Linked DNA regions of Mus musculus. The protein of the gene in region 1 interacts with the protein of each later gene in a biochemical or structural test. Links are inferred from orthologs where the notes say so. Each region holds a gene or a part of one and is shown in the gene's direction. Other genes may lie near its edges.

Region 1 (4,171 bases):
ATCAAATGCTCTTAACCAGTAAGCCATATCTCCACCCCTCTAGCTGCATAAATTATACACAGAAAACCTGGTATTTATTTCCACATGATATCATTTGATGTATTTGAAAATAACCATAGCATTCCTGAGTGATCTTTCCCTAAATTAAATGGACCTAATTCCTTCAGCTCATTGACATAGTTTTAATTTCACTTTCTCTTTAATATTCTTGAGTTTGTTATTTCTTAAAGAGTGGCATCAGTCTTGTAGTATTATCTAGTTGGTACAGCCTACAGCATATTTGTTTCAGTTTTGTTTTTTGAAATAGGGTCTTTCAGTGTAGCCCAGGTTGGCCTCAGATATGTGATCCTGGTGCCTCATATCTTCTTCAGTTCCTGGATTGCAAATATGTGCCCCCATGCTGGCTCTGTACTTACTCATTCATTCATTCATTTTCGTGCTCACGCATATATGTGGTGGGTGCACACGGGTATTTTGGTAAATGGGAGGTCTGCTTGTGTTTTGGAGGTTGCTAAATAGTCCAGGTTTTCTGGTCAACAAGCCCCTGAGTCCTGTCTTTTTTGTGCTAGGATTACAAGTGCATGCCACAATGCTCAACTTTTTTATGTAGGGTCTGGCAGGTCAAATGTAGGTCCTCATCCTTGTAAGGTAAGCATTTTACCAACTAAGCTATCACCCCAGCATTTATTCTTTACATTTATTATTTTGAGATAACACTAGCCTCTTGTAGTCAAATTTAGTCTATTTACTTGTTTTTTTTTTTTAAATGTTATTTTTGTTTGTTCTTTTGCAATGGTAGGTACAAAAACCCATGGTTTATGCATGCTGGGCAGTACTGTGCTACTGAGTTTTAATCTCGACTGAGAGAATTAGGAAATAAAAACATAAATTTTAAAACAATTGTGTTTGGCAGAGAAAGAGAATGTTCTGGGCAAAAGGAGACAGAAAATTAAGATTTCATCTTAATATTTATGAAGTTAACTTTATTTATTGTCTATTGTTGGTCTTGGGCATTTGTGGTAAATTATTCCTTTCCAAAATCTGACAGTACAACAAATACTGTATATAAAAAAGTATTTCAGAAACTGTGGGAGAGATAGCCAAGGACTATAGAAAAGGATCATGCAGACGTGGGCATTGTCATGGGTCACACGCCCGGAATCATAAGCCATGAGTGAAAGCTGCTATTTATACTGTGATAGCATTGCGTACTTACCATAGCCTGACCCTCCTGAGTGTAGCCAGTCTCATCATTAAGAAAATGCTAATCTAACACATTTTACTTATGCATATTGAGTTTCATCCTACCTGTAGTTCAATTTCAAAATGAAGTCAGTACTGAAGAAACCATGGTCTTTTAGTTTCGATGTCAGTATGATTTTATAAAAAGCAAGCCAGTAAGGAATATCCCTCCATGGCCTCTGCATCAGCTCCTGCTTCCTGATCTGCTTGAGTTCCAGTCCTGACCTCCTTTGGTGATGAACAGCAGTGTGGAAGTGTAAGCTGAAAAAACCCTTTTCTCCCCAACTTGCTTTTTGGTCATGATGTTTGTGCAGGAATAGAAACCCTGACTAAGACAAATTGGAAACTACAAAATAAACATTTTAATTTCTGTAGCCTTGGCTATAGCCTTTACCTGGAGTTACAGGCTGACACACCCTAAAGGTAAACTTAAACCCTGCCCTCCCTTTTCTTTAGATAGGGTTTCCTTGTGGCCCAAGATGGTCACTTTTATTTTTTAAGATTTATATATTTATGTGTACACTATAGCTGTCTTCAGACACTCCAGAAGAGGGTGTCAGATCTCATTACGGATGGTTGTGAGCCACCATGTGGTTGCTGGGATTTGACTCAGGACCTCTGGAAGAGCAGTCAGTGCTCTTAACCACTGGGCCATCTCTCCAGCCCCACCAAGATGGTCTTAAACTTACTTACTGTATAGTGAAGAATGATACCTTAACCAGAATCTTGCCCTAACCAAGGACTATTTGGATTATTGGTGTGTAATACTGTTCCTGGCATAATTTTGTTTTTAAATGTAATTTTGTGATCTTTAAAAATATACATTTAGGGGTGGGGGAGATTACACTGGCTGCCTTTCCGGAAGACTTGGATTTGATTCTTAGCACCCACATGGGAGCTCTCAACCATGTATAAATTCAGTCCTTAAAGATCTGGAGCCTTCTTCTGATTTCTGAGGCACTGCATGCATGCAGTGCACAGACATACATGGAAGCAAAACACCCATGCACATACCCATTTTAGAAGAACATTTATTAGCAATGAATTTTCAGAATCTAAACTATTGTGCTGTTAAAACTTCAGCCTTTTCTATATGTATGCTATTTGTCTTCTGTTTAGATGTAATGGAAATAATCTTGCTTTTTAGAGTAGCTAGGCTATTCTTAATAGAATATTTCAAGATTATTTTAATAAATTTATTCATAAAGCTGCTCAGTGACTTAGAATCCTTTTAATTCCAGTGCCACAAATTGTGAGTTCAGTATAAAAATTAATCTATTTTTGCTGTATTTTTAGAGGTTGGTAAATTTAATCTTTAATGGTGCTATCTAGCAAATGTTTTCTTTTTCTTTAACTTTCTGGGTCATATATTATCCATTGCAGATACTCATTTCTTGTCATTTACAGTATTAAATGCAGAAATGTGATTGTGTTCCAGTTAAACTTTATTAACAAAATGGCCAACCAGTTGAATTTTACTTAGGGGCTACCCTGTTGAGAGAAACTATGAGAGTGAGTTAAGAGAAACTTGCTGAATGGAATCACTTAAAGAAGTTGGCACTTAGCTGGGCGTGGTGGTGCACGCCTTTAATCCCAGCACTTTGGAGGCAGAGGCAGGTGGATTTCTGAGTTCGAGGCCAGCCTGGTCTACAAAGTGAGTTCCAGGACAGCCAGGGCTACACAGAGAAACCCTGTCTCGAAAAACAAAACAACAAAAAAAGTTGGCACTCTGAAGGAGTCTTTATTTTTATGATCTATACATTTTTACTATTTTGTTTTATTTTTAAATAGGAGCACCCAGGCTAAAATGTCAAGACCTCTTGAATTATGTCATGGATACAGTGAAAGACTCATCTAATGGTCTAACGTATGGAGCTGACTGTAGCAACATACTACTCAAAGACATTCTTTCTGTGAGAAAATACTGGTGTGAAGTATCTCAGCAACAGTGGCTAGGTATGTTTTGAAGCCTGTGATTTTTTCCCCCCCTTATAAGATGAAATTTCAACAATAAAAGCAGTCTATATCCCACAGACGACTCAGAGTTTAATATTATATTGATGAAATTATATCATTGTAGTTTCAGAGCCTTCATTTTCTTCCTTTTCAAGTAACATCTTGCTATATATCCCATTCTGGCCTTCAACTTGTAATCCTCTGCATTGGTCTGTTAAGGCTGGAATTATAAATATGGACTACCATGCCCAGTTCTTAATTTTCATTTATTATGTACTTTGAAAAGCATTAAGACAAGCTGGTGAGATGGCTCAGTGGGTAAGAGCACTTACTGCTCTTCCAAAGGTCCTGAGTTCAAATCCCAGCAACCATATGGTGGCTTACAACCACTCGTAATGAAATCTGATGCCCTCTTCTGGTGTGTCTGAAGACAGCTACAGTGTACTTATTTATAATAATAAATAAATCTTTGGGCGAAAGCGAGCAGGGACTGAGCGAGCAGGGTTGACTGAAGCGAGCAAAGATCCAAAATTTAATTCCCAACAACTACATGAAGGCTCACAACCATCTGTACAGCTACAGTGTACTCACATACATTAAATAGATAAATACATCTTTTTTTTTAAAAAAGTATTAAGTCACATTGTTTATAGTAGGTGTTTACCACTAGAACTGGAATTACAGATTTCAAAGATTACTGCTCTGTTTTCAAATATTCAGCCGTCCAGTGACTGAGAAAAATAGTCAGCTAAAAATTACCATGCCATTCACTCTCTCCAGGCTTGTTTACAGTGTGTACACAGAACAGCGATACCTTAACTGAGCCATAAATAAAGGAGGAAACCAAAAGAGAGATGTCACAGAGGTTGAAAGCAAGGGTTCTGAGTTAAAAGGGTTGTGGTAGATACTTTAAATGTCAGAGGAAGGATAACGTGCAAAAGTATTCACTGTGTTAGGCAGAGGTAGATATTAG
Region 2 (4,892 bases), on another chromosome or scaffold:
TGGTGCACACTTGGAAGACAAAGGACAACTCTCAGGAGCTGGTACTTGAGGCCTCCTCCACAGGAGCGTCCTCCTTGCCACAGGAGTGCTGGGATTGCAGATGTGCCATTGCGTTTGGCCTTTTGTGTGTTCAGGGTTTAGAGCTCAGGTCGGCAGGCTTGCCCCTCATGTGCTCTACCCAATGACCATTAAACAACTGAGCACACAGGACTGCGGGGATGGCTCAGGGGTTAAGAGGGCATGTTGCTCTTGCTGATCACCTGAGTTAGCATTACAGAATGGACACGGACACGGCCAAGGGACAGCTGCCTATAACACATTTAGGGACCCCCCAAGACCTCCTCTGGCTTTGGAGGCACCTAAACTCATGTGCACGTACCCACATACTTTCTAGAAAACTAAACACATGCTCTAGTGCTCGATCAGCTTTTAGACGAAGGTGTATGACTCATATAATGACTGGTTGAAATCACGGGAGACTGAGAGGGAGACAAAACTGGGGGCAAGACAGCAGGACATCTTTGGATCTTTTTAACTGTGGCCATGTATGGCCATGAGGTTTCTTTTGTTTGTTTTCTTTTTTTTTTCTTCAAGACAGGGTTTCCCTGTGCAGCCTTGACTGTCCTAGAACTCACACTGTAGACCAAGCTGGCCTCAAATTCACAGAGATCCACCTGCCTCCACCTCCCAAGTGTTGGGGTTAAAGGCGTGTGCCAACCCCTCCCCCAGGTAGGGTTTCTTTCTTTGAAAACATGAACATGTTATCTATGCCCTGGATACAAGCCTGTGTGTGCGTATGAACATGTGTGCTGGAGTGTGTGCTTGTGTGTGTGTGTGTAGAGGACAACTTGTAGGAGTTGTGATGGAGCAGCCTGACTCCACCTTAAGTTCTGAAGCCATCTTATCATACTACCAAAATAAGTCCATTCCTCTTTTCTATAAAACTTAATTTGACCAGGTCTTGACCAACTTTCTGAATTTCGACAGGTTCCACACCCTATACCCTGATTTCAGTCTGATAGACGTTCTGCCAAATAATGCTGAAATGTTCGACCAAGTGCCTACATAACCCTTGAAAATGTCCATATTCTTGCAGTTTTGGGGGTTATATAAACCTCACCTCTTGTGTTCGATGCTGTTTTCTCATTTTGTATTTGTTTTGTTTTTTCGAGACAGGGTTTCTCTGTGTAGCCTTGGCTGTCCTGGAACTCACTCTGTAGACCAGGCTGGCCTCGAACTCAGAAATCCTCCTGCCTCTGCCTCCTAAATGCTGGGATTAAAGGTCTGTGCCACCACTGCCCGGCGATGCTGTTTTCTCAAAACCCCAGTTTAGCGAGATAGCCATCTCTGACAAAATTAAGCTTGCTTAATTTGACCAAAAATTGTTTAATCATTTCTACTCATCTTCAGTGGGATTAACAGTTGAGCCTCTCCTTCCACCATCACGCAGGTATTTATTTATGAATACAATATCACTATCTTCAGACACACCAGAAGAGGACAGCAGATCCCATTATAGATGGTTGTGATCCACCATGTGGTTGCTGGGAATTGAACTCGGGAGTTCTGGAAGAGCAGAAAACTAGCAGTTTGGCGGGAAAAGGGGGCTAGCGAGCGGCGGAAGTGATGTAGGGTTGCATGCGACGGAGATGGGGTGTGTGTGAAGAATGCTTGAGGATGGCCCCGGAAGTATCGTTTTGATTGGTTGTTTTCTTGAATACTGTCCTATCGGAAATTTGCCCTCAGTAAAGATGGCCGCGCATGCTTCCATTCCTTCTTGGGGCCGGGTGTTTTTCCTAAGCTTGGCCTTGATACCGAAAAAAAAAGGAGGGGACTCATGAGTTCTGATTGGCTGAAGGTAAATGTGTCCAGGGCGCTGATTGGCTGTCCCTTCGCGGGAAGGAGTTTGTGGCGCCAGTGCAAAGTAGCCAGAAGGCTGCCACGCCAGAGCGGCACAGAGTTCCCAAGTGTTCTTAGTTTTCGTGTCCGAGCGTCTTGGGCCGCTCTCTCCGGAGAACTGCGACCAGGATGTGGAATAGTAATGGCGGGCGTGGGGAGAGTCACGCGAGGGTGTTGGGAGTGGGCGAGTCTGGCGCAGGAAGGCCGGGACGGAGCGAGAGGCCCGAGGCGGGCTCGGCGGCGTTCGCGGGGTGGCAGGGGGATTGTCGCGGCTGGGGCGGTGGGGACAGCGGTCGCCAGGTATAGAGATGGGGAGCGCAGCGCAGACTCTGACGACGGTCGTTCCCCGCAGGCGGATTCGAAAGCTTCAGCAGCTCCACCTATGGCGGAGCAGGCGGCTACACGCAGTCCCCCGGTGGCTTCGGGTCGCCCACACCGTCGCAGGCGGAGAAGAAATCGGTACGTAGACTGACGGCTCCGTTCTCATTTGTGTCCTGGCCAGGAGGGAACGTGTTTTCGTGCGGGAGGGTGGCACACCCCAAGGTGTCAGAAGCTGTCCGTTACCTACCTTGTCTTTTGTATGGTCAAGTGGGGAACAGGGTTTTTATTATTTTATTGTTTGGCAAGCCTGCAGTGGTTCGCCCGGCCTCCATTTTCCTGGCCCTACCACTCGAAAGTATGCTTTAGTAGAGTTTAATATCGCTGTCCCCAGGGCACAAAAATCCCTGAAGAACAAGAGTCCACTGTGTTCAGAACAGGTTTGGGGTTGTTTCCTGTTGGTAACTGACAGGAAGGACACGCTAAGCCTTAATCTGCTGGGCTTTTTCTGCCTCGTACATATTCATTGTATGACCAAGTGTTTTGGAGGTGTTTGTAGCTCTGGCTGGCCTGGAACTCAGAGATCCACCTGCCTGTACACTGTAGTTGTCTTCAGACACACCAGAAGAGGGCATCAGATACCACTACAGATGGTTGTGAGCCACCGTATGGTTGCTGGGAATTGAACTCAGGACCTCTGGAAGAGCAGTCAGTGCTCTTAACCGCTGAGCCATCTCTCCAGCCCAAAAAGATCCTTTCTTAAAAAACAAACAAACTACATTGCTCGTAGGTGGCTTGAGAGGCAAGTGTCTTTGCTAGATGCTCCTCTGCCCACTCCATCTGACTCTCCTGTTAAGATGCCCAAAGATGAGCAGCTTGACGAAACTCACCAGGTTTTCTGCAGAGACTGCCATCTGGTTGCCAGAATATCTCCTAAAAGAAGCTATACTTCTAACTTCTTCCATTTTATCAAGAAACCTAGAGCATCTTCGTAGTCCTTTTTCTGCTTGTCATTTCTCAAGCCTTTTCACAAGGCCCTGTTGTCTCCGTGGTGTCCTGAACACTGCTCTTGCTATGTCTGGGATGTGCTCTTTCTACCCCTACCTCTCTGAGACAGTTGTTTTCTTGTTGTTGTTTTGTTTTGGGTGTCTGTGTGTGTGTGTGTGTGTGTGTGTGTGTGTGTGTGTGTATCCTTGGCTGTCCTGGAACTCACTCTATAGACCAGGCTGGCCTTGAACTCAAGAAGTCCACCTGCCTCTGCCTCCTGGGTGCTGAGATTAAAACCATTTGCCACCACTGCCTAGCCCTGGGATGCGTTCTTTTTTTTTTTTTTTTTTTTTTTTTTTTAAGATTTATTTATTTATTATATGTAAGTTCACTGCAGCTGTCTTCAGACACTCCAGAAGAGGGCATCAGATCTTGTTACAGATGGTTGTGAGCCACCATGTGGTTGCTGGGATTTGAACTCCGGACCTTCGGAAGAGCAGTCGGGTGCTCTTACCCACTGAGCCATCTCACCAGCCCCCACCTGGGATGCGTTCTAAAGACAGGCTATCCTATGTTGTCCTGACTCTAGTCTGACCTTTTCTTTGTGAACCCACAATAGGATACAAACATATATTCACCTGGAGGTCTAGCATCAGATCCCTGTGGGCTTGAATTCAAAAGTGTGGCATTCGCCGTGTATAGTAGCACACACTCTGAATCCTAGCACTTAGGAGGGAGAGGAAGATGAAACAAATGTTAACTTTCTGGCCCTGTTTTCTGTCTCTTTTTAAAGTAAGGAGAACTTGGTTTTGCAATTCCAGGAGTGTGGTATATTCAAGTGCTTGGCACATGGAAATATTAAATGAGTGATTGTTACTCTCTTGGGTTGACTGTGCGTACTTTTTCTTTTCAGAGAGTCCGAGCCCAGCATATTGTGCCCTGTACCATATCCCAGCTGCTTTCTGCTACTCTGACTGATGAAGTGTTCAGAATTGGAGATGTCGAGATTTCACAGGTCTGTAAGATTTTGTGGAAGAACCGTTTAGAGATAGGAAATATGAGGGGTGGGAAGATGTCTGCGCAAGCGTGAGGCCCAGTATCAGATCCGTATGCATGTACAAGGCCAGGCTCGCTTCCCCTGGGTCCTGTAACTACGAAGCTCAGAGACGGGAGGGTCCTAGGGCCTTGCTGGCTCCAGGTTCAGTGAGAGACTCTGTCTCAAGGGAATAAAAGCAATAGTGCTAGACCTGGACAGCCAATGTCCTCCAGCAAGGGCATTGCTCATCTGTCTGCTCATTTGTGCATACCCTTCACGCATATGCAAAGAAAAAGGAGTAAGACTTGCTTAATCGAAAAGTATGTAGCAAGTGACGTGCTCTGTGGGTGAAAGTGCTTGGGCCTTTAGCACAAGTCTGATTACCTGAGTTCAGCCTCCATATTCTACATTAGAAAAAGAACCAGCTCCCTAAAATAGCCTCTGACCCCTGGGCCATGGCACACATACACACAATGGTAAAATAACAATATTTTTGTGGAAAGTATTTTTTGTTTGTTTGTTTGTTTATTTATTTATTTTTCGAGACAGGGTTTCTCTGTATAGCCCTGGCTGTCCTGGAACTCACTCTGTAGACCAGGCTGGCCTTGAACTCAGAAATCCGCCTGCCTCTGCCTCCCAAGTGCTGGGATCA
Region 3 (4,171 bases), on another chromosome or scaffold:
CGGTTACTTGAATATACCAAGTTTTTCTTGGTGATATTATTTTCTAGAATAATTTCTCCTAGATTATGCTTTGCTAATTGCATGGGTTTAGTGTATTTTAAAAGTCTTGTGTGGTATGAATTAAACTTGTAACAATAAAATTCATTGGGTTTTAGTTGCCATTACCCAGGGAGGAGCAATACAGCTGGCTAACAATGGTACGGATGGGGTACAGGGCCTGCAGACATTAACCATGACCAATGCAGCTGCCACTCAGCCGGGTACTACCATTCTACAGTATGCACAGACCACTGATGGACAGCAGATTCTAGTGCCCAGCAACCAAGTTGTTGTTCAAGGTAATAGAATTAAGAATTCATACATATGGTACATTCTTTTAAAAATTAATGTGTATACTCATGAAAAGTAAGTATATTACAAAGCACTACTAAAATAGTTTTCTTCAGTATAGATTTAGATATTAACAGTTTAGATATGCATGTATTTAATACATAAATATCTCTCATGCAACTTTCCACTCAGATGAAAATGTCATGGCATAAAAACAACTATCTTTTAGCTTAAAAGGGGTTTTTCCTGTCTTTAATGCCTTCAGTAGTCAGGATTGGAAGAACCAAAATATGTTAGAAGAGAACTGAGGAAGTTATAGCCAGGCTGAATGGCCTCAAGTAACACTAGCTCCCCTGGGCCCCTTTCTTTCCCTCCTCTGTGTGCTATGTCACTATTAAAGAGTTCTAGTGGATTCTGCTGTTTTATCTGTTTTGTCTTGTTTTTATTATTTTTAATTTAAAAGGAATATAGAGCTTTTCTGAAGTCATCAATTTGGATTTTGGATAAGAACAAGCATCATTATGCAGATCCTTGCTCATTGGAGAACAAGTTGTCCTTTAGCCTCGGTGGACGAGAGGATTTTGTTTTGTTTTGTTTTGTTTTGTTTCCCAAAATTTCAAGAGTCTGGAGAGTGTTAACTATTCAGCATTAATTCACTGAGCAGTTCATAGTTCAATATTACCAGATTAAAAATTTATAGATTAAAAAAATAATATTTGCTTCTAAAAATATTTTATTAATAATAACTAATGTTGCCTGTGTTAATGAGAGTTATATCCCTTCACCATGGATAATTACTTTTGGATCATACCACAACACCAAGTAGAACATCTTTTGTTTAACAATGTCTAATAAATTTATACTATATATCTTGTTATTAGACCAATGATATTTAAAAAATATTTTGCTTATTAGTGGGAGTAAAACACCTTTTCACTTTACATGCAGGTACTCAAAAAATTGTAAAGCAGGATGTCAGTGAATTTGAATTCTCAACGTCAGTTTGAATATGGTAACATGTTTAGTATATAAATCTTTGTCCCTCAAACGATACAATCGGTGTTTTTAACTGATATGAATGATTTTATAAAGACATTCAAAATCTCTCACATAGTATTAGGGTACTTATGAAAGCATATCATGACACTGTTTCTAGAAGCAAATAATGGACAAATAGTGATTTTTTTTTTCACATATGGAGATTGTATGGTGAGGAAAACCCAAACTACACGCCTTTAATTCCAGCACTTGGGAGGCAGAGGCAGAGGCAGGTGGATCTCTTGAATTCTAAGCCAGCCTGGTCTACATAATGAGTTCTAGACAGCCAGGGCTACATAGTAAGTCCCTGTCTTAGAAAACTGAAATGAAAACAATTCAGCTTTTACTTACTTAGTTTTAGTCACTTATATTAAGATATGTTTACATATACCATGATTGGCAGCAAATGTCCAGTTTTTCATACTTGGAGTTTTGTTTGAATTAGAAATTTATAACAGTTTCTATATGCTTATTTTTTTTCTTCTATTTTGCTATTTTATGAAAAATCATGGTCGTTTTTATGTCGTGGCAAGAGTCTACTTGAGTTTTTTGGGTTTTGTTTTAAATGTGAATTTATGTAAAGCAAGGGAAGATACTGAGGCCTGTGTGGGAGGACATCTCTGCTCAGCTCCTTTAGACTTAAAGCTGACAAGCATGCAAACCACAGACTGCATCTCCCTCCCAGCACAACATGAATAAGACCCGCAGGGACGCTGAGGCACCCTGCCCCGTACCTGTACTAATAAATAGGACAGACAATTGGAGTCTTCTTCTTAGATAGAGTCCCATTCCCTGTTTCCCTTTTAATCTAAGTATGTTTAGATTGATTGAGACACAGTTGAATTAAATTGTAGTGTTTCTGTGTCTTATACCTTGTTCGCTCTTCTCTGCAGCTGCCTCAGGCGATGTACAAACATACCAGATCCGCACAGCACCCACGAGCACCATTGCCCCTGGAGTTGTTATGGCGTCCTCCCCAGCACTTCCTACACAGCCTGCTGAAGAAGCAGCACGGAAGAGAGAGGTCCGTCTAATGAAGAACAGGTACAGATTCCAAACACTTAAATGCTATGGGTCAAGTATGTCTATAAACTCTTCTGTGTGTGCCTTTACATCTGCTAACAGTAGGTTCTGTGCATTGATTTTCTTTTTCTGGTAGAATTAGTGGATCTTGCTAAAGCTTCTTTGTTTATTAAGTTGCATTTATAAGATGGCTAATGGAACTTTAGGTCAGTCTTCAATCAAAAAAGTAATTTTTCTTCATAGTTTTTCCACAAGAGAAATACATAGCTTTAATGAATTTGTACTTTATTCTAGCTAATAGGATATGTTAATTAAAAAAATTTGTAAGTAATATTCATCAAAGTGTCACATATGTATACTAACATTAGACTCTAGTTTATTTGCATTAAATTTATTTATAACAAGTATACAGTAGCCATTTTTGTTTTAATGAATACTTTCTTTTGCATTTTTATACACTTACAGATTTATTTATGCATGTTTTATGCATATGTGTCAATGCCTACATGTATGTATATGTACCACATTCATACCACAAAGGGCAGAAGAATGCATTAGATCTCTTGGAACTAGAGTGAGAGGGGTTGGTCAGCCACCTGCCTTGTTCTTTGTTTGGGGTCAGAGTCTTGCTGTGTGGGCCAAAGTTGCCTGGAGCTCTTATCCTCCCGCCTCTGGGAGTGAGTGCTGGAATCACAACCTTGGGCCTGGCCTTAGGGGCAGGGGCTTTCTTTACTCAGTAATAACTTAACATCCAAACACTTTTAAAACAGAGAAATTCTAAAAAGTATGGTATTCCCGACAAAGCCTTAATGCACAGTTAATGTTAGTCTTAAGAAGTTAAAGTGGTACAGAAGAGAAGCTATAAAACACAGGTAAAGCCTTTCTTAGAAATTTATTTGCTTTCAAATGTTTTTGCCATCTTAAAAAAAAGGAAGTTATTAATGTGGAAATGATCAAAACAAAACAAAACAAATGGTCTGAGGAGGCCATCGTTGGTTAATGTGTTCACCATCCAAGCAAGAACACTGGAGTTCAGATCCCCAGAACCCATATAAAATTCTTGGTAGGGCCCTGTAATTCCTCTGATGGCACAGGTGGGGTTTTCAGGGTAAGCTTGTCTGTAAGCTCTGGGTTGAAGAAACCATGACTCAAGAGTAAGCGAAAAAGCAACATTAGGGAAGATAGCCTGCACACACATAAAACATGTGAGTAAACATCAAGGGGCTATAATGGGGGAGGGAGGTGAAAACTAAAAGAGAATCAAGGTGTATAGAGATGTAAACTATTTAAATTCTTCTTTTTACCCCAAGAGTGTAAGAACTATGATAAAGTAAATGAGACAGAAATTGAACTTAGCAGATCTAACTTCAATTCCTGCATTCACCCTTTAGCTATGACTCTGGAAGAATACATTAATTTCCTAAACTTGGGTTTCTACCTTTGAGTAAAATAAGATCTCTCCTTGCACCCAAAGCTTGGCTCTCAGGGTCAGGTAAGACAGCACATGGCATCTCTACTGCTCCTTCTCTTCCAACAATTTTATTTTTGGTAGGTCAGCATCATTGTTCCTGAAATAGTCTTAACTGTCACAGTCTTAGTAAATTATATCTAGCTATGAAAAAGGAGAAACCCATTCTGAGATAGTAAGGGAATCTTGAAAAGAAGCCCTGTGACCTTTATTGTGCACCAAACTGTAGTCTCCCCTCCCCCAGCCTGAAACCTGCTTGCTCAGGGGTGGAGCTTCCCACTCAATCGTTCTGCCACGCCCACTGCTGGACCT
Region 4 (4,171 bases), on another chromosome or scaffold:
ATGCCTTTAATATCAGCAGTTGGAAGGCACAGGCAGGAATATCATGAGTTTGAAGTCAACCTGGGGTAACCAGGGAGATCTAGGTTAGTCCCAGCTAAATAATGAGACCATGTTTCAAAAACAGAAAAATTAGTGTATCGTATTCAAGAATGTTTTCTGGGGGAGGCTGTTAAGTCTTGTGGCTTTTTAGTTAATCTTGTCTGATTCCAAAAGCAATAGTCTGTCTTAGGAAACATATAGCTTCACTTTTTAAGCTTCTGATATAAGTGAACATAGAGGCAATGTGATTTCTTACTCGGTTCTGAGGTGCTAATTGGGTCTTCCATCTTTTAACATGTTTATTCAGTCCTTAATCTTCCTCTTAGCCAAACTTCTATCTTTGGAAGGAGCATTAGAATTGACTGCTGTACTAGTCTAAATTGCTTGTAGCCATACAAGTCTAACAAGTCCCTCCCCTCGGGCTGTTCCCCTTCCTATCTTAGTGGTATCATATAGTACAAAAGTAGAGGACTGACTGCACCAACAAGCAGCAATGAGTGTATTCATGGTAGCTTATACAGATTTTTATCTTGCCCTTCTTTGTAAGCTAGTAATTGGGATTCCTAAGCCTTGTGCTTCAGTTTCCCTTCTTCCTTTATATTCAGTATGGCCGCCTCATTGACCTCTGCCAGCCTACACAAAAGAAGTATCAGATTGCTGTGACCAAGGTTTTAGGGAAGAACATGGATGCTATTATTGTAGACTCAGAGAAGACAGGTCGGGACTGTATTCAGTATATCAAGGAGCAACGTGGAGAGCCTGAGACCTTCTTGCCTCTTGACTACCTGGAGGTAAGGCTTGTGAAGGGGTTTGGGGTCAAGGCAGTGTTATGGGCCCCTCACCTTGGCTTTATGTATTCTGTTGCTTCATAAGATTCTTCACACAGGTGAAACCTACTGATGAGAAACTCCGGGAGCTGAAGGGGGCCAAGCTAGTGATTGATGTAATTCGTTATGAACCACCTCACATTAAAAAAGCTCTGCAGTATGCTTGTGGCAATGCCCTTGTTTGTGATAATGTGGAGGATGCTCGACGCATTGCCTTTGGAGGTCACCAACGCCACAAGGTATGCACCCTCCCCCCCTTTCTCAGGTTGGAGTTGGACAGGCTCAGTGTCTTAGTCAGGGTTTCTATTCCTGCACAAACATCATGACCAAGAAGCAAGTTGGGGAGGAAAGGGTTTATTCGGCTTACACTTCCATACTGCTGTTCATCACCAAGGAAGTCAGGACTGGAACTCAAGCAGGTCAGGAAGCAGGAGCTGATGCAGAGCCATGGAGGGTGCTCTTTACTGGTTTGCTTCACCTGCTCTCTTATAGAACCCAAGACTACCAGCCCAGGGATGGTCCCACCCACAAGGGGCCTTTCCCCCTTGATCGCTAATTGAGAAAATGCCTTACAGTTGGATCTCATGGAGACATTTCCTCAACTGAAGCTCCTTTCTCTGTGATAACTCCAGCTGTGTCAAGTTGACACAAAACTAGCCAGTACAATTGACCCCTTGTCAACTTGACACACAAACACATCACTAGTAAGCCTCAACCCTTACATTCTTATTCATCCCCATTATAAATAACTTTAAAAGTCCCACAGTCTTTACATATTCTTAAATTTTCAATCTCTTTAAAATCCAAAGTTTTTTTACAATTAAAAGTGTCTTAACTGTGCGCTCCACTAAAACTGTTTCTTCCTTCAAGAGGGAAACTATCAGGGCACAGTCACAATCAAAAGCAAAAATCAATCTCTAACTGTCCAATGTCTGGGATCCAACTCACGATCTTCTGGGCTCCTCCAAGGGCTTGGGTCACTTCTCCAGCCATGCCCTTTGTAGCACACGCGTCATCCTCTAGGCTCCAGATGACTGTACTCCACTGATGCTGCTGCTCTTGGTGGTCATCTCATGGTACTGGCATCTCCAAAACACTGCATGACCCCTTCAGTCCTGGGCCTTCAATTGCAACTGAGGCTGCACCTTCACCAATGGCCTTCCATGGCCTCTCACAGTGCCGAGCCTCAGCTGTTCTGCGTGACCCCTTCATGCCTTCAAAACCAGTACCACCTGGGTGACCCTTACATATTACCAAGTCCCGCTGCAGCAGGAGTACAACCTTGGCCATCTCTGGAACACAGCCTCTTTGTGCTTTCAGAAAACACTTCCCAGAAGATGTCACCTCAATGATGCTGGTCTCTTCTTAATCACCGCTAATTTCTTAGCTCCAGCTAACCAGCATCAATAGTCCCAGTAATGCAAAGTTTTTGCTTTAGTAGTTCCGGTATCTTGTTAATCACAGCTGATTCTTTAGCCCCAGCTAACCAGAACTACAGAATCTTCACAATCAAAACAGCAATGGCCCTGAAAAGAGTCTTTAATTTTCCCTCTGAAATTTCACAAACCAGACCTCCATCTTCTGCAGTGTTCTCAACATTATCTTCCAAGCTCCTACACAACATCCGACAGGGCTCTTAACAATGAATGGATCTTCAAGCCCAAAGTTCCAAAGTCCTTCCACAGTCCTCCCCAAAACATGGCCAGGTTGTCACAGGAATACCCCACTCTGCTGGTACCAATTTGTCTTAGTCAGGGTTTCTATTCCTGCACAAACATCATGACCAAGAAGCAAGTTGGGGAGGAAAGGGTTTATTCGGCTTACACTTCCATACTGCTGTTCATCACCAAGGAAGTCAGGACTGGAACTCAAGCAGGTCAGAGAGCAGGAGCTGATGCAGAGGCCATGGAGGGATGCTCTTTACTGGCTTGCTTCACCTGCTCTCTTATAGAACCCAAGACTACCAGCCCAGAGATGGTCCCACCCACAAGGGGCCTTTCCCCCTTGATCACTAATTGAGAAAATGCCTTACAGTTGGATCTCATGGAGACATTTCCTCAACTGAAGCTCCTTTCTCTGTGATAACTCCAGCTGTGTCAAGTTGACACAAAACTAGCCAGTACACTCAGTATTGGAGATTCCTATGTTCACCTTCTTCTCTTCTCTCCCTGATGCGTATAGACAGTGGCGTTGGATGGCACCCTGTTCCAGAAGTCAGGAGTTATCTCTGGTGGAGCCAGTGATCTCAAGGCAAAAGCACGGCGCTGGGATGAGAAAGCAGTAGACAAACTGAAAGAAAAAAAAGAACGTTTGACAGAGGAGCTGAAAGTAAGGCACAAGTAACCCTGACCCTTAGGAGTAGGGTTCCTGAGCTCAGGTTGGCCACTTAGCACATGGTCCTTTTTTCTTTTCTTCTTTAGGAGCAGATGAAGGCAAAACGGAAAGAGGCAGAACTGCGTCAAGTGCAGTCTCAGGCCCACGGGCTTCAAATGCGGCTGAAGTACTCACAGAGTGACCTAGAACAGACTAAGACAAGGCATCTTGCCCTGAATCTCCAGGTAGGGGCTGGCCTTCAGCCTGGCCTCCCATATCATCCTAGGTTTCACTGGGACTGGGGAATTATCCACTTTTCTTCCATTTCGTTCAGGATAGCATAGCAGAGTATAGTCAGGCACTGGGACGGGGTGGAGGTGTCTAGATCTTCTGTCCCCTGTGTTTATTCCATTAAACAACTTACTTCTTATTGTCAGTTTTATCTTCTTGATCTAACAAATGGAAAGTATTGTCTATTTTGTGTGGCTATTGCAAAGATCGAATGAATTAATACCTATAAAGTTCTTAGAACAGTTGACATTAAATAAATGTTAGGGACTGTTATTAGCACATTCAGTCACTAAATATTGGGACTTCTAAAAGTCAATTGAGAGTGAACAACAGGGCCAGTGTAGTGGCCTATACCTGTGGTCCCAGGACATTGGAGAGAAGATTGGAGCATTCAAGGCCGCCCTGAGCTGTATAGTGGGATCACATCTCAAGGGAAAACACACACACACACACACACACACAATGATCTACAGGCATTTCACTGTCTGTAGGTTGTGTACTGTTACAGCTTACTCAAACTAGAATTGTTACATAATACCTAGACTTACCTTCTTGTGAAAAACAGTCCAACTTCTAAAACTTATTTGGCCCAGGGGTTATCAATAAGGGATTAATGGACCTATAACTATTACTGTACGTACACCCATCCGTATAGATTGAAGGTGGCTGAACTGGGAACGGGGGAAAATATGAGAGTTCTA
Region 5 (4,890 bases), about 17 Mb from region 1:
ATTCAAATTTAGGGTGGCTTTGAATTCCTGATCTTTCTCCATCTCCCTCCGAAGTGCTGTGATTACAGGCAAGTGTTATGCCTCGTTTCACTACTATTCCTTCCTAACTAATTTTAGGGAGTTTTATCATGAGTCCTCCTACTCCCCACCTCTCTTCACTTTCAGTTACTCCTCTGTGTCTGAACAGTTTTCTTTTAATCGATTCAGACACATTAGGTGTTTTGAGACAGTATTTAATTTATTCCAGGTTATCTTTGAGCTTTCTATATAACCAATGTGAACCTGAACTGGTCTTCCTACATTCACCTCCCTGTTGTTGGTATAGGTGTACACACAAACACATAAACACACACACACACACACACACACACACACACACATATACACACTCTTCTCCAAGTCAGAACTCTGATACTGTGTCTTTTCCAGGAAATAAGACATTGATTCCATTTAAGACTAGAGGAACCTAGATTCCATTTAAGAGCACTTGGGAGGCAGAGGCAGGTGAATTTCTGAGTTCGAGGCCAGCCGGTCTACAGAGTGAGTTCCAGGACAGCCAGGGCTACACAGAGAAACCCTGTCTCAAAAAACCAAAAAAAAAAAAAAAAAAAAAAGACTAAATCAACCTCTTGTAGATTTCAGAATATACACAGGAAATCACAAAGAAATGGAAATAATCTAATAGCTTGTTTTTAATTACACGAACCCTAAACTGATAACATGGTTTAAGTTTAAACATTTCCAGGTTAGATTTCATGGAGTTGGAGATGTAGCTCAGAGGCAATGCACTTGACTAGCCAGCACATGGTTTCATTGTTTCCTTATTTTTTGTATCCAAGTCCCTTTTCTTAGAATTGACATTTCTCTATTATGAGACTTTTGTATGCTTGGCAGGCATTCTACCATTATGCCATAAGTCTAGCCTAGTTAAGGAATATTGATTGTGCTCCCCAACCCACCTCCTTTTTTTTTTTTAGATAAGATCACACACACTCACACACCCTTGGCTCAGGCTGACCAACCTGAATCACTTTCCCTGGCTCAACCTCCCTAGACTGAGGTTATAGATGAGTCACCATTAAGTCTACTTTGCTGTTTGTTTTTTCTTGAAAGCGAGCATCTTGGTTGGGTATCTCCTGCTTTATCTCTATAGTGTGGTGGGCCACCGTGCTTGTTTAAGAAAGCTAGTACAGGCAAATAGTCGTGTGTCCCCCCCCCCCCAAAAAAAAAAAAAAGATTTAACTGGTTCTGGAGCCTCCTGTTCAGGCAATATTGGTGACTCTCACTGCACTTTCCCCTCACACATCCGCGGCGATGTGGTTTTTTTTCCCCTTCGTTTTTTTTTTTTTTTTTTTGGTAAGACTAACCCTGTATAACTCGGATTGCCTTGAACTCAAGATCTTCTTGCTTACGCTTCCCAAGTTCTAGGTCTACAAGCATGCACCACCACACTTGCTTTCCTTCGTTTTTTTTTTTTTTTTTTTTCAGAATTCCAGCAGCAGTTGCTAGCTTCTCAATTCGAATACTAAGGGGGGCACAATTGAGTTTACAGAGCACTCTGTGTCGCTTAGTTTGAGCCTTCCTCCCTGGGGCTCCGAGGTCAAGAGCAGGTCGGTTTACGTACTTAACGGTGCAGCCTTTGCAGGCTCTGAGTGGCAGGGAACCTGGGTTCTTGGCCCAACTGGTGGCGCAGTCTGGATGGAGGCTTCGGTGCCTCTGTGGAGCAACGTAAGGCGTGGCACACGCCCCGTGCCATTTCCATTTCATTCGGACTCAGAGATCAGTTCTCACCAAAGCAGTCGTCAATACCAAATCTGGTCAGCTTGTGTCTTAACTACGGCCACATCAGAATTTCAGCCAGTATTAGAAGGAAGGGTCCTTGCGCGGTCGGTCTACTGAAGTCGCTCCTCTGCAGAGCCTGGGATAGGACAACGCGCGCCGGCCCGCTTTACGGCAGAGGTGTGCGCTTTTGCGACAGCATGACGCAAGCAGGTTTTGGCGGGAAAAGCTGTGCATTTGGATTCCTGTGGCAGCTGGCAAAGGACTGCTTGGTGAGAAGGGCGTCCTGAACAGTGGGAAAGAACTCCAGCAAAGGACCCAGAGGGCTTGTTTAGTGTGGACGGGCGCGGGGAGGGAGTGGTCCAGACTAGCAGAGAGGTGGGAGGGCCGCCCGGAGCCCGGGCTGGAGCGGGTGGCCCGTGGCTCTCCAGCATAAAGGGACCAGAGCGATTGTAAGGCTCCGGGGTTCGCATGCTTTCCCGGCTCTAGGGGTCCCTGCCTCCCGCTTCTCTCCGCGGCTTGGCCCCGCCCTGTTCCCTCCCGGTGCTGGGGACACGTGCCGTTGGGGTGGGAATTGGAAGTGAGCGGGTGGGAGGAGGGGCTGCTCTGGCAGTAATTACCGTAGTTACACCCAGCTGCTCCCCACCCCCGCACCCTGACCTGCCCGCAACTCCCTTTCCGGATCATTCACCCGAAAGCTCTTGTCTTGCAACCCTGGAGCCAAGCAAGTGCTCAGTTTTGCATAAAGGCGGACGGAGGACAAACGTGGAAACAGGATTTGTGATAAACAGGACAAAATGTTCAAGTTCAGTATTATGACGTGGGTAAATATGGTTCAGATGTAAGATGAAAAGAAAGTCGTGCGGAATCATAGCAGGAGACATGGCTCAGTGGCATTACAGGTGATGAGAGTTTACACTCATCCCCAGTATTTTCTGGGATCCTGCATTTTACAGTCGCTGTGCTTGGAGTCATGGCAGTGCCTTTTGTGGAAGACTGGGATTTGGTGCAAACTTTGGGAGAAGGTGCCTATGGAGAGTAAGTTTGAGTCCTCATTTTAATTTTTTATTGCAGTGTGTGTCTGTCTGTCTGTCTGTCTGTCTGTCGTGCTATGGTGCGTGCACCTGTGGAGGTCAGAAGACAACTTGCAGGAGCTGGTTCTGTTGAAGGTTTGGAGGGATCATTAGGCCTGACAGCAAGAGGCTTAACCTGCCTGGCCATTACCATGGTCTTCCTAATTTAAATATTACCTGTTTGTTTGCTTTAGTTTTCCACCTGTTGTCTGAGTACACACTTTAAAAAAAGTCCTTTATTTCAAGTGGCAAAGAGCATGGATATTCGCATTTGTACATCAAGGCTCTGAGTGAGTGAAGCACATCCACACCTGTTCCTCCTCTTTTGTGATGGTAGACATTGAACCTAGTGCATCACTCATGCTGGGCTTATGCTCTGCCATGAGCTACATTTCTAGGCCTGTAAAACACCAAATTTCTTCTTACATTTGTTTTTGTTCAGATCAAAATCTTGTTAAATTGCCTAGGTTGGCCTTGAACTTGTACACTGTAGCCTCCCAGGTAGGTATGACAAGCCTGTGCTTGACGGTCCAATTTCTTTTCTTTCTTTTTTTTTTTTAATTTTACTTTTATAAAATTTTCTTTTATAAAAGAATTGTTTTCCTAACAAATCATGTGTCTTAGAATTTTAAATGAGATAATGAAAAGACCCTGGCGGCATCCTGCCTAATTTCAGATCTCCACACTCAGCTGATCCTGGTTGTATTTGTGTTCTTTTTTTTTTTTTTTTGGTTTTTTGAGACAGGGTTTCTCTGTATAGCCCTGGCTGTCCTGGAGCTCACTTTGTAGACCAGGCTGGCCTCGAACTCAGAAATCCGCCTGCCTCTGTCTCCCGAGTGCTGGGATTAAAGGCATGTGCCACCACGCCTGGCTGTATTTGTGTTCTTGAGCAAGCTTTATGTGCCTTTGTTTCTTCATCTGATGATAGAATTAATGGTTCTTACCTTAAAGATGTGTTCAGTAGTTGGCTCAGGCATATATGCATGAGATTAATAAGTGTAAAGTAATGCTGTTGTATTACTAGATCATGTGTATATGTGATGTATTGTAGACTTGCTATTGTCTTTCAAAGCATGGTCAGTTATTAGATAACTTGCAAGCACAAGGTTTCCAAGTTTCCAAGACTTTCTTGGAGCATTAATGGCAATGCTTCACATTTGTCTCAATGCGTCTGAGAACATAGCAGAGGCCATTTCATTTTCCTTGATGAAGAAAGGAAGAATAGTTTGGGGTGTGTTACATCTAACTTTTTGAAGCTTTTTTTCTTAAGATTTATGCATTTTTAAAATATGGATGAGTGTTTGCCCACAGAGGGCCAGAAGTGTGGGATTCCCCCAGAACTGGAAATTACAAATGATTGTGAGCTACCATGTGGGTGCTGGAAACGGCTGAGGTCTGAAGCAAGTGCTCTTACATGCTGAGCCTTCTCTCCAGGCCCCCCCTCAGGTATCCCCACCCCTCAGTTTTGTTTGTAGAGAGAATAAATATCTCATTGGCACCAAACTCCAAGAGCTCTGCTTGCCTCTGCTTCTCAGAGACACCTCCACCCGCTGCTAGGGTTTTGCTTTTTTTGTTTTTTTTCTTTGAAAGTTTCTTTGTAGTCTAGGCTGTGTTTGAACTTGGACCCTTTTGTCTCTAGAATGCTGGAATTACAGGTGTGTATCAGTAATCTTTTGAAGAGTTAGGAGAAAGGGAATTCTGAGGTGAAAATGTTGTAACTTTTTCTCTCTTTCTTTTTAAGAGTTCAACTTGCTGTGAATAGAATAACTGAAGAAGCTGTTGCAGTGAAAATTGTAGACATGAAGCGGGCCATAGACTGTCCAGAAAATATTAAGAAAGAGATCTGCATCAATAAAATGTTAAGCCACGAGAATGTAGTGAAATTCTATGGCCACAGGAGGGAAGGCCATATCCAGTATCTGTTTCTGGAGTACTGTAGTGGAGGAGAACTTTTTGATAGAATTGGTATGGAAAAGATTTAAGATAAATATTTTACTGAACACCTTCATACGTTGTGTGTGCTGCTGGACATTAAACC
Region 6 (4,171 bases), about 42 Mb from region 1:
TTGCTGCTTGGGAAGGTTAAAAAGTTCTTTACATGAGTGGTAGTAATGTGCTGAACTTAATTCTATAGAAGTATATACACTTTAAAATAATGAAATAGTAAACATTATGTAATTTATATTTTATCAAAATAAAATCAAAAGATGTTTTCTAAAATTGATCTGATCCTAGCCAGTGTTCCTTTTGTGAAATTCCAACCTTTGTGGCATTTAGAATAAACCTCAGTTTTTCTGTGTCTCCTTACGGCTCTTCTAGCTAGCCTAGGTATCTCTCTGGTCTTATTAATCACAATTGCATTTATATCCCAGGCTTCCATTAATCTGAGCTGTGTGATCTCCAGTGATTTAACTTCCAGAGCATCCTCAGATCCAAATTAGGCTTAGTATCTTACCTTGTTTTATAGGGTTTGTGTTAGCTCATTATATCCAAATATTATCACACTCATATGTAACTCATATAAGACGATTAATGCAACATTAATTCTTTTGTCCAAGTATGAGTAATCCAATATGTATCTTATATACATCTTAATTTGGAATAACCTTCTTTTCAAGTATTAAATAGTCATATGTGGCTAATGGCTGCCATTTTGAGCTGCACATTTCTAAAATATGAAGGTTAGCTGTCTGCACTGGCATTTAAGACTTTCCCCGCCCCAAATTAGTAATATCTTTAGATTTTCACTTTTAAGAAGTATAATACTGTCTATGTTAACATTTAAACCAATCATATTTGTTAGGTTCAAGTTTAGAGAGCTTTTGTACAAATTGAAAAGTAGGTCCTTTTAAAGATGAAATGCTCTTTGCTGGATTAGTTTGTAGAGACAGAATCTCTCTAAATAGCTTATGCTGGCCTAGAATCACTGGCCTTCTGCCTCAGCTTCCAATTATAGGTATGTGCCACCATACCTCTAATAAAACATTTTTACATTAATTTATTTATTGGGAGGGAGGGTCACACACATCACAGTCCATGTGGAGGATGACTCATGGGAGTTACTTCTCCCCTCCCACTATATCCATCCGGGGATGGAACTAAGGCCAGGCTTGGCAGCCTGCCTTTACCTGCTAAGCCATCTTGCTTGCTCCCATAGTGCCTCTTTTAACAAGCTTTACTTTGTATTTCAGTGCTACTCCAGAAGAATATAACACTGTTGTACAGAAACCAAGACAGATTCTCTGCCAGTTCATTGACAGAATACTTACAGATGTAAATGTTGGTAAGAGGGAATTATTTCTTCCATGAACTTCAATGGTTTTCCGTGTAACATTGTACTACCTGTTTTTCCTCTAGGCAGTTTTAGTCAGAGTTAGTTTTTGTTATAGATAGTAATTTCCAGCAAATTGTTACTCAGTATTGCTTATTACTTAAAACATAATGTAATTTAGGCTTTAAAATCAAGGGTGTGTTTCTATTATTCCATGATTTTTCTACTGGCTTCCTAGAATTCTTTAATGCATTAGTTATAAAACATTTGACTGGGTCCAATCATATGGGCTTTATCAACAACTTGCAAAAAAAAAAAAAAAAAAAAGTGAAATTTGGTACCAACACATTTTGTGATTTATTATAACCACTTAAACTTTGTTCTTTTCAGTCTACAAAGTCATAGGTTGCTAAAATGAGAGCAAAGGGCTATGAACACTTGTAAGATATGGTTCCCTCTGGGTCTCCCTCTGTTCTCACCACTTGCCTTTTCCCTCAGCCATAGGAACTCCTTCATGGGATCTTTCCAGAATTGTTTCATTTTATCCTGAATTACCAAGTCAAACTACTATTTTTAATTCTTTGACTCCTTCACCAGATTATTGTTTTTGTTTTGTTTTATCTTAAGCATGGTGCCTGTCATCTTACAGGCCTATATAACAAATGTTTGCAGAATGGGCTATATTATAGATGAATGTATATGGTTATTAGACATTGAAAATTAAGTGGTAGGCTGGAAAGATGACTCAGACATTAATCTTGCTGCCTTTAAATTCCCACCACAATCTTAAAAAGCAGCTGCAGCAATGCACACCTGTGATTGCTGCAATTCTCACAGTAGATCTGTGGAGCTTCCTGGTCCAGCCAGTCAGCAGGGCATGGTGGCCCACGCCTTTAATCCCAGCACTTGGGAGGCAGAGGCAGGCAGATTTCTGAGTTCGAGGCCAGCCTGGTCTACAAAGTGAGTTCTAGGACAGCCAGGGCTATACAAAGAAAAAAAAAAAAACCTGGTCCAGCCAGTCTAGCTAAGTTGGTGAAGTGTAGGTTCAGTGAGATCTCTTGTCTCAAAAAATAAGGTAGAGAATGATTGAAGCAGACACCCAACATTGACCTCTGACTGTCACATTCATCACACACACACACACACACACACACACACGAACATGTACATAGACATATACCATACACATACACATACTAGATAATAGGACTTCTTCATGTATCAGTGTAGCATGAGTACTCCACTGGACAAAGTTTTGATTACCAAAATTTAGTTTCTTAACAAAAGCTCTATATTTTGTCATGAGTTTTTAAAAAGAATCTTTTATCTCTTAGTTGCTCTAGAACTTGTAAAGAAAACTGACGCTCAGCCGACCTCTGTGATGTTACTTGATTTTATCCAGCACATCATGAAGTCTTCTCCGCTTATGTTTGTAAATGTGAATGGAAGCCAGGGCCAAAATGAGGCCAAAGACAGTTGTATTGGTAAGTGCTGTTATTTTATGTTAATCCTTAACCAGTTTTATTAGATCTCCTTTGCTGCTTTTCTGAATATCACATTTATATAATTACATGCTCCCACAAGTCATATTTGCTTTTGGGGAAAAGTGGTAGCAGTTTTGTTTTTGAGGCAGGGTCTCGTATGTACCTTTGGCTGGCATAGAATGCATTTGTAGACTAGGCTAGCCTGGAACTCAGAGATTGGCCTGCCTCCTGAGTGCTGGGATTAGACATATGCCAGCATGCCCAGCTTCAGCTACTTTTTTTTTTTTCATTTTGACAGTTTTACTAGAACATCATCTCAAATTACTACAAAGGTTTTTTTTTTTTTTTTTAGACATTCTACTCAAAAATACTTATACCAGGTGTAGTCATGCATGCATTTAATCCCAGTGCTCAGTAGTAGAGGCAGGAGGATCTTTGAGTTGGAGGCCACCTGTTCTACAGAGCAAGTTCCAAGTCAGCCAGGGCTACACAGAGGAAACACTTTCTTTAAAAACCAAAACCACATCCCTAACAAGATCTGACTCCCTCTTCTGGTGTGTCTGAAGACAGCTATAGTGTACTTACATATAATAATAAATAAATCTTAAAAAAAAAAAAAAAAAACCAAAACCAAACAAAACAAAACTTAACTACATTGCCTTCTAAGAAAAATTTGCTTTCTGTATGTTAAAGCATTTTTCTAGACTTTTACTGTATTGTTACTACCCCATTAATCTGCCTGCTCCTCACTTTCTGATTCTCTCATAAAAGGATGCAGAACAAACTTTTTCCTATATAATGAAATATTTTAAAATTTGTTAATAGTATCTGCTTTGATAATATAGCCTTCAAAAAGTGTTTTCTGGGGGATGGAGAGATGCCTTAGTGGTTAAGAGCACTAACTGCTCTTCCAGAGGTCCTGAATTCAATTCCTAGCAACCACGTGGTGGCTCACAACCATCTGTAATGGGATTCAATGCTCTCTTCTGGTGTGTCTGACGACAGCTATAATGTACCCATATACATAAAATAAATAATTCTTTAAAAAAAAGTTTTCTGACTCATCCTGGCCACCTAGGACTTGTTTTCTTTTTTTTGCTGCTGAATTATATGTTCTTATTATTGATGTTCTGTATTTCTTCTGTCATAAGTTCTTAAATTATACTATAATCACATTTTCAGTTTCTGTTATATTTTCTAAAGTATGGACAACAACTCACAGTGGGTTATGAACTAACTTTAAAGCTAGTAACATTTCAAACAAACTGAGCTGGGCATGGTGGCACACACCTTTAATCCCGGCACTTGGGAGGCAGAGTCAGGCAGAACACTGTGAGTTCAAAGCAAGCCCAGTCTACATAATGAATTCCAGGATAGCCAGAGCTATGTAGAGAGACTCTGTCTTAAAAGAATAAATGAACGAATGAATGACATGTCTATATGGATAGGGGATTGCATTTAGTACCTTACATGTAGTAGGTA
Region 7 (4,171 bases), on another chromosome or scaffold:
AGCTGACAGCAGTGGTGCTGCAGGGGAAGCTGAGCAGCCTGAAGCTAACGGAACGACAGCTGGCATACAGGCTCAGCCTACTGAGCACAAATTGAAGGACACAAAAGTCAAGAAGGAGGCAGGCAGGGCAGGGGTCTCAGATGGGTCAGTTCTGGAGAGGAGCCCCACTCTTGGAGAGGACAGTGACACAGAAGTGGACGAAGATCACAAACCTGGGTTTGCGGACAGTGAGACAGATGTGGAAGAAGAGAGGATCCCTGTGACCCCCCCTGTAGCCCCTGTGAAGAAAAACCAAGTGCTACTTGCAGTTGGTATAGGAGATCCTGAAGCACCTGGTGTGGCACATCTGCAGGACTGCCTAGCTGGTAGTGGCACAGATGTGGAGGACAAGACTGCACTGGATGTCCCTCTAGAGAGAAACCACACACCCATGGTGATCAACAGTGATACAGATGAGGAGGAGGAGGAGGAGGAGGAGGAGGTCTCAGCAGCACTCACTTTGGCCCATCTGAAAGAGAGAGGAATTGGTTTGTGGAGTAGAGACCCAGGCGCAGAAGAGGTCAAGTCCCAACCACAGGTCCTTGTAGAACAAAGCCAGAGTGCCTCTGGGAGAGACAGTGACACGGATGTGGAGGAGGAATCCTCAGGGCGAAAGAGAGAGATTATCCCAGACAGTCCCATGGATGTAGATGAGGCTCTTACTGTCACACAGCCAGAGAGCCAGCCTCCCCGTAGGCCCAATGATGCAGATGAGTACATGGATATGAGCTCCCCTGGCAGCCATCTAGTGGTAAATCAGGCCTCCTTTGCTGTGGTAGGCAAGACCAGAGCACAAGTGGAGGAGGAAGTCCCAGGGCCATCTGTTATCCTGGGGGAGAAGCACCAGGTGCCTCTAGAGGGAGCCCAGCCTCCTGAGGAAGCCTGGGAAACAGCTGTTCAGGAAGGCTCATCCTCACCAGAGGCAGCAGCCTCTGTAAGGCCTAGCCAGCAGCCAGTAGCAGAAGATGCTGGGACAGAGTGTGCTACAGCTGTTTCTGAGCAGGAAAGTACTCTTGAGGTGAGGTCCCAAAGCGGGTCACCTGCAGCACCAGTGGAGCAAGTGGTGATACATACAGATACTTCAGGGGATCCCACCCTGCCACAGAGAGAGGGAGCCCAAACCCCCACAGGAAGGGAGAGAGAAGCACATGTGGGCAGGACCAAGAGTGCCAAAGAGTGCTGTGATGGTAAGTGTTGCCCTCTGCTCTGCCTTTGGCCCTTAAAATAAATTGGGTATAAGGATTAGGAGAGAACTGTAGAGGTCTTTAGGATGAGAGTTGATTTTTCATCTGTCTCACATCTCTTCCCAGCAGAACCTGAAGATCTGTGCCTTCCAGCTACCCAGTGCTTTGTGGAAGGGGAGAGCCAGCACCCAGAAGGTGAGGACATTGTGTGGTGTGGATGGGAGCACCAGGAAGAGCTGGGTGATGATTACACTGATGGGCCTTGAAAGGCGATGTGGCCAAGTAGGGTATGAGACCCTGGCGTTCTGGGACCAGCTGTGTTCTACCCACCTTTTCTTCGGCAGCTGTCCAGAGTTTGGAAAATGAGCCTACCCAACTCTTCCCATGTACTCTTCCACAAGAGCCAGGACCTTCCCATCTCAGCCTTCAGACTCCAGGTACAAGGAAGTCTCTCTGAATTCCCAACTTTGCCTGCTTTCTTGTTTTCTTCCTCTGCATCCTTTCATATACTGTCTGTTAGATTTACCTATGTTACATGTATGAGTGTTTTGCTTGCATGTATATATATATATATATATGTTCACCATGTGCATGCCTGGTGCCCACAGTGGTCAGAAGAGGTCTTATTCCCTGGAACTGGAGTTGTAAGCTGCCATGTGGGTTCTCAGGACTGCTAGAGCCACCAGTGCTCTCTCTTCAGCCCCTCATATTCTTGTTTGTTTGTTGACAAAGAGTTCCTGTAGCTGAGGATGACCTTGAACTGCTGGTTCTCCAAGGGCTGGGATTACAGGTGTGTGCCACCCAGCTAGGGATGGACGAGGACTTCATATGCTTGCTCGATGAGCTCTCTAACCACTGAGCTGTATCCGCAGACGCACTTTTCATATTCTTTTGTTATTCAAGAAAAGAACCTATACCAGACATGGTGACACACACACTTGTGATCCCAGAACTTGGGAAGCAGAGGCAGGAGCCCAGGGCCATCCTGGACTACATAGAAAGTTTGAGGCCTTGACTGAATGAGACCTTGTCTCAAACAACAACAACAAATCCAACAAAATGGGCTTGGCTCAGTGGTTAAGAGTGGCAATCATCTTAGAGGACCAGAGTCCAGCACCCATGTCAGGCAGCTGGCAACCATCTGTAACAGCACTTCTGGAGATTTCATCACTCTCTGGGTACCCCACACACACATGGTATACACATATACATGTGAATAAAAAATTTTAGAATAAGTCTTAAAAAATAAAATAACAAGTAAAAATTAGATTGCCTAGATTACTCTGATTCTAGTTCAGGAGATTTGGGGTTAACCCAAAAACTCAAAAATTTTTACACTCTACATTCTCTCTGGAGATTTAATCAGGGCTTTATGCATGCCAAATGAGTATTCTCCTAAAATGAGTGTTTTCCTAAACCACATCCCCAGTCCTTGTTTTTCAAATGAAGTTCCTGAGGGAAGCTGTGCGTGAGGTTATAATCTCCTGAATAGCATTCAGTGTTAGAACCACCACCCTACTCCCAGCTTCCCTTTTGTAACCCATGTAGCTGTTTGCTGCGAGCCTGCCTTCGTTCTCAACCTTAGTGCCTTTTTTACCTGTGTACTTATCTCCTTTCTCTCATCCTGTTTAGGTGCAGATACCTTGGATGTGCCTTGGGAAGTCTTGGCTACACAGCCGTTCTGTCTAAGAGAACAGTCAGAGACTTCTGAGCTTCATGAAGCTCATGGATCTCAACCATCTCTGCCTAGGGAACCACCAGGACACCAACATCTGGTTCATACCAGCCCAGTTCACACAGAGCTGTTGAGAATTGAAGGCAGAGAGATACAGACTGTGGAGAAAGCCATGGGTATACCAAAGGAAATGGCAGACAGGATGACCCCTGAGAGAGAGCCATTGGAGAGGGAAATCAGGGGAAGAACAGAAAACAGTGAGAGAGATGTGATAGGAGAAGAACTAATTCAGGGGACAAAGGACAGAGAGCCAAAGAAGGTGTTAGCTAGAGACAGTCAGAGAAAAGAGGCTGACAAGGATCTTGAAGGGAATAGGGAGAGTTTGGAGGTAGAAATAGAGATGTCCAAAGACTCACAGAAGAGAGAGAGAAAAGTAGAGAAACCAGAACCAAAGAGAGAATGGGAGCCAGCTGATTTAGAAGTGACTCCAGATAGAGGGGTGACAGAGGAAGGGAGCCATGATCAGAAAGGGCAAATTGCTAGTCTAACACTAAAGCCTGGAGTTGGGGTGAAGGACCTTGAGGGACTTGCATCAGCCCCAATAATCACAGGGAGCCAGGCAGATGGAGGAAAGGGAGACCCTTTGAGCCCTGGGAGGCAGCAGAGAGGTAAGTGTGAGGCAGGGGAGCCAAGGGGTATGTAGTCCTCATGGCAGTTAGTATCTGAGCTGCGGGCTGCACAACACTCAGCCAGTCTTGTTTTATTCTTTGACTAGGCCGCTTGAGTTGCCAGACGACACCTGCTGGAAAGGCTTCCAGGGTGAGCTGCTTTCTTATCATTCCTCTACAGCCCTTTGCCTAGCCTTCCTTTAATCTTTCTTTGTCTATACTTCCCATTTTCTCACTGCATGTACATTTGTGCATGTTTGTGAGGGTTTGTGTTTAGGGGCAGTGCATGATGAAGGCAAGTGATAGTCTTGTGTGTTGTTCTTCAGGGACTACCCAGCTTTTTTTTTTTTTTTTTTTTTTTTTAAAGATTTATTTATTTATTATATGTAAGTACACTGTAGCTGTCTTCAGACACTCCAGAAGAGAGAGTCAGATCTCGTTAGGGATGGTTGTGAGCCACCATGTGGTTGCTGGGATTTGAACTCCGGACCTTCGGAAGAGCAGTCGGGTGCTCTTACCCACTGAGCCATCTCACCAGCCCACTACCCAGCTTTTTAGAAGGGTGGTGGTGGTCAGGATCCTAAACTGGCTTAGAATATGCTGAA

Evidence for each region.
Region 2: of the proteins of Atm (region 1) and Rpa2, one has a biochemical effect on the other in vitro, tested with the Homo sapiens proteins (3 studies listed by BioGRID). The link is inferred for Mus musculus from reciprocal best matches to the Homo sapiens genes ATM and RPA2.
Region 3: of the proteins of Atm (region 1) and Creb1, one has a biochemical effect on the other in vitro, tested with the Homo sapiens proteins (2 studies listed by BioGRID). The link is inferred for Mus musculus from reciprocal best matches to the Homo sapiens genes ATM and CREB1.
Region 4: the proteins of Atm (region 1) and Smc1a form a complex in vitro, tested with the Homo sapiens proteins (2 studies listed by BioGRID and IntAct, with this or other methods). The link is inferred for Mus musculus from reciprocal best matches to the Homo sapiens genes ATM and SMC1A.
Region 5: of the proteins of Atm (region 1) and Chek1, one has a biochemical effect on the other in vitro, tested with the Homo sapiens proteins (2 studies listed by BioGRID, with this or other methods). The link is inferred for Mus musculus from reciprocal best matches to the Homo sapiens genes ATM and CHEK1.
Region 6: of the proteins of Atm (region 1) and Atr, one has a biochemical effect on the other in vitro, tested with the Homo sapiens proteins (2 studies listed by BioGRID, with this or other methods). The link is inferred for Mus musculus from reciprocal best matches to the Homo sapiens genes ATM and ATR.
Region 7: the proteins of Atm (region 1) and Mdc1 form a complex in vitro, tested with the Homo sapiens proteins (2 studies listed by BioGRID, with this or other methods). The link is inferred for Mus musculus from reciprocal best matches to the Homo sapiens genes ATM and MDC1.

What each region holds. Positions count from the first base shown.
Region 1 is NC_000075.6:53,526,200-53,530,370, reverse strand, and holds part of Atm (serine-protein kinase ATM), read left to right. Parts: intron 1-3,033; coding exon 3,034-3,198; intron 3,199-4,171.
Region 2 is NC_000070.6:132,766,429-132,771,320, forward strand, and holds the start of Rpa2 (replication protein A 32 kDa subunit), read left to right. Parts: upstream 1-1,931; 5' UTR 1,932-2,028; coding exon 2,029-2,038; intron 2,039-2,251; coding exon 2,252-2,358; intron 2,359-4,117; coding exon 4,118-4,219; intron 4,220-4,892. UniProt on the Homo sapiens protein: As part of the heterotrimeric replication protein A complex (RPA/RP-A), binds and stabilizes single-stranded DNA intermediates that form during DNA replication or upon DNA stress.
Region 3 is NC_000067.6:64,573,918-64,578,088, forward strand, and holds part of Creb1 (cyclic AMP-responsive element-binding protein 1), read left to right. Parts: intron 1-155; coding exon 156-338; intron 339-1,106; exon of another isoform or gene 1,107-1,302; coding exon of another isoform or gene 1,303-1,342; intron 1,343-2,261; coding exon 2,262-2,412; intron 2,413-4,171.
Region 4 is NC_000086.7:152,033,055-152,037,225, forward strand, and holds part of Smc1a (structural maintenance of chromosomes protein 1A), read left to right. Parts: intron 1-644; coding exon 645-830; intron 831-925; coding exon 926-1,105; intron 1,106-3,047; coding exon 3,048-3,194; intron 3,195-3,286; coding exon 3,287-3,424; intron 3,425-4,171. UniProt on the Homo sapiens protein: Involved in chromosome cohesion during cell cycle and in DNA repair. Central component of cohesin complex. The cohesin complex is required for the cohesion of sister chromatids after DNA replication.
Region 5 is NC_000075.6:36,723,724-36,728,613, reverse strand, and holds the start of Chek1 (serine/threonine-protein kinase Chk1), read left to right. Parts: upstream 1-1,955; 5' UTR 1,956-2,051; intron 2,052-2,735; 5' UTR 2,736-2,752; coding exon 2,753-2,817; intron 2,818-4,593; coding exon 4,594-4,817; intron 4,818-4,890. UniProt on the Homo sapiens protein: Serine/threonine-protein kinase which is required for checkpoint-mediated cell cycle arrest and activation of DNA repair in response to the presence of DNA damage or unreplicated DNA.
Region 6 is NC_000075.6:95,860,244-95,864,414, forward strand, and holds part of Atr (serine/threonine-protein kinase ATR), read left to right. Parts: intron 1-1,125; coding exon 1,126-1,217; intron 1,218-2,539; coding exon 2,540-2,689; intron 2,690-4,171. UniProt on the Homo sapiens protein: Serine/threonine protein kinase which activates checkpoint signaling upon genotoxic stresses such as ionizing radiation (IR), ultraviolet light (UV), or DNA replication stalling, thereby acting as a DNA damage sensor.
Region 7 is NC_000083.6:35,847,440-35,851,610, forward strand, and holds part of Mdc1 (mediator of DNA damage checkpoint protein 1), read left to right. Parts: coding exon 1-1,226; intron 1,227-1,349; coding exon 1,350-1,418; intron 1,419-1,567; coding exon 1,568-1,660; intron 1,661-2,855; coding exon 2,856-3,566; exon of another isoform or gene 3,567-3,673; coding exon 3,674-3,717; intron 3,718-4,171. UniProt on the Homo sapiens protein: Histone reader protein required for checkpoint-mediated cell cycle arrest in response to DNA damage within both the S phase and G2/M phases of the cell cycle.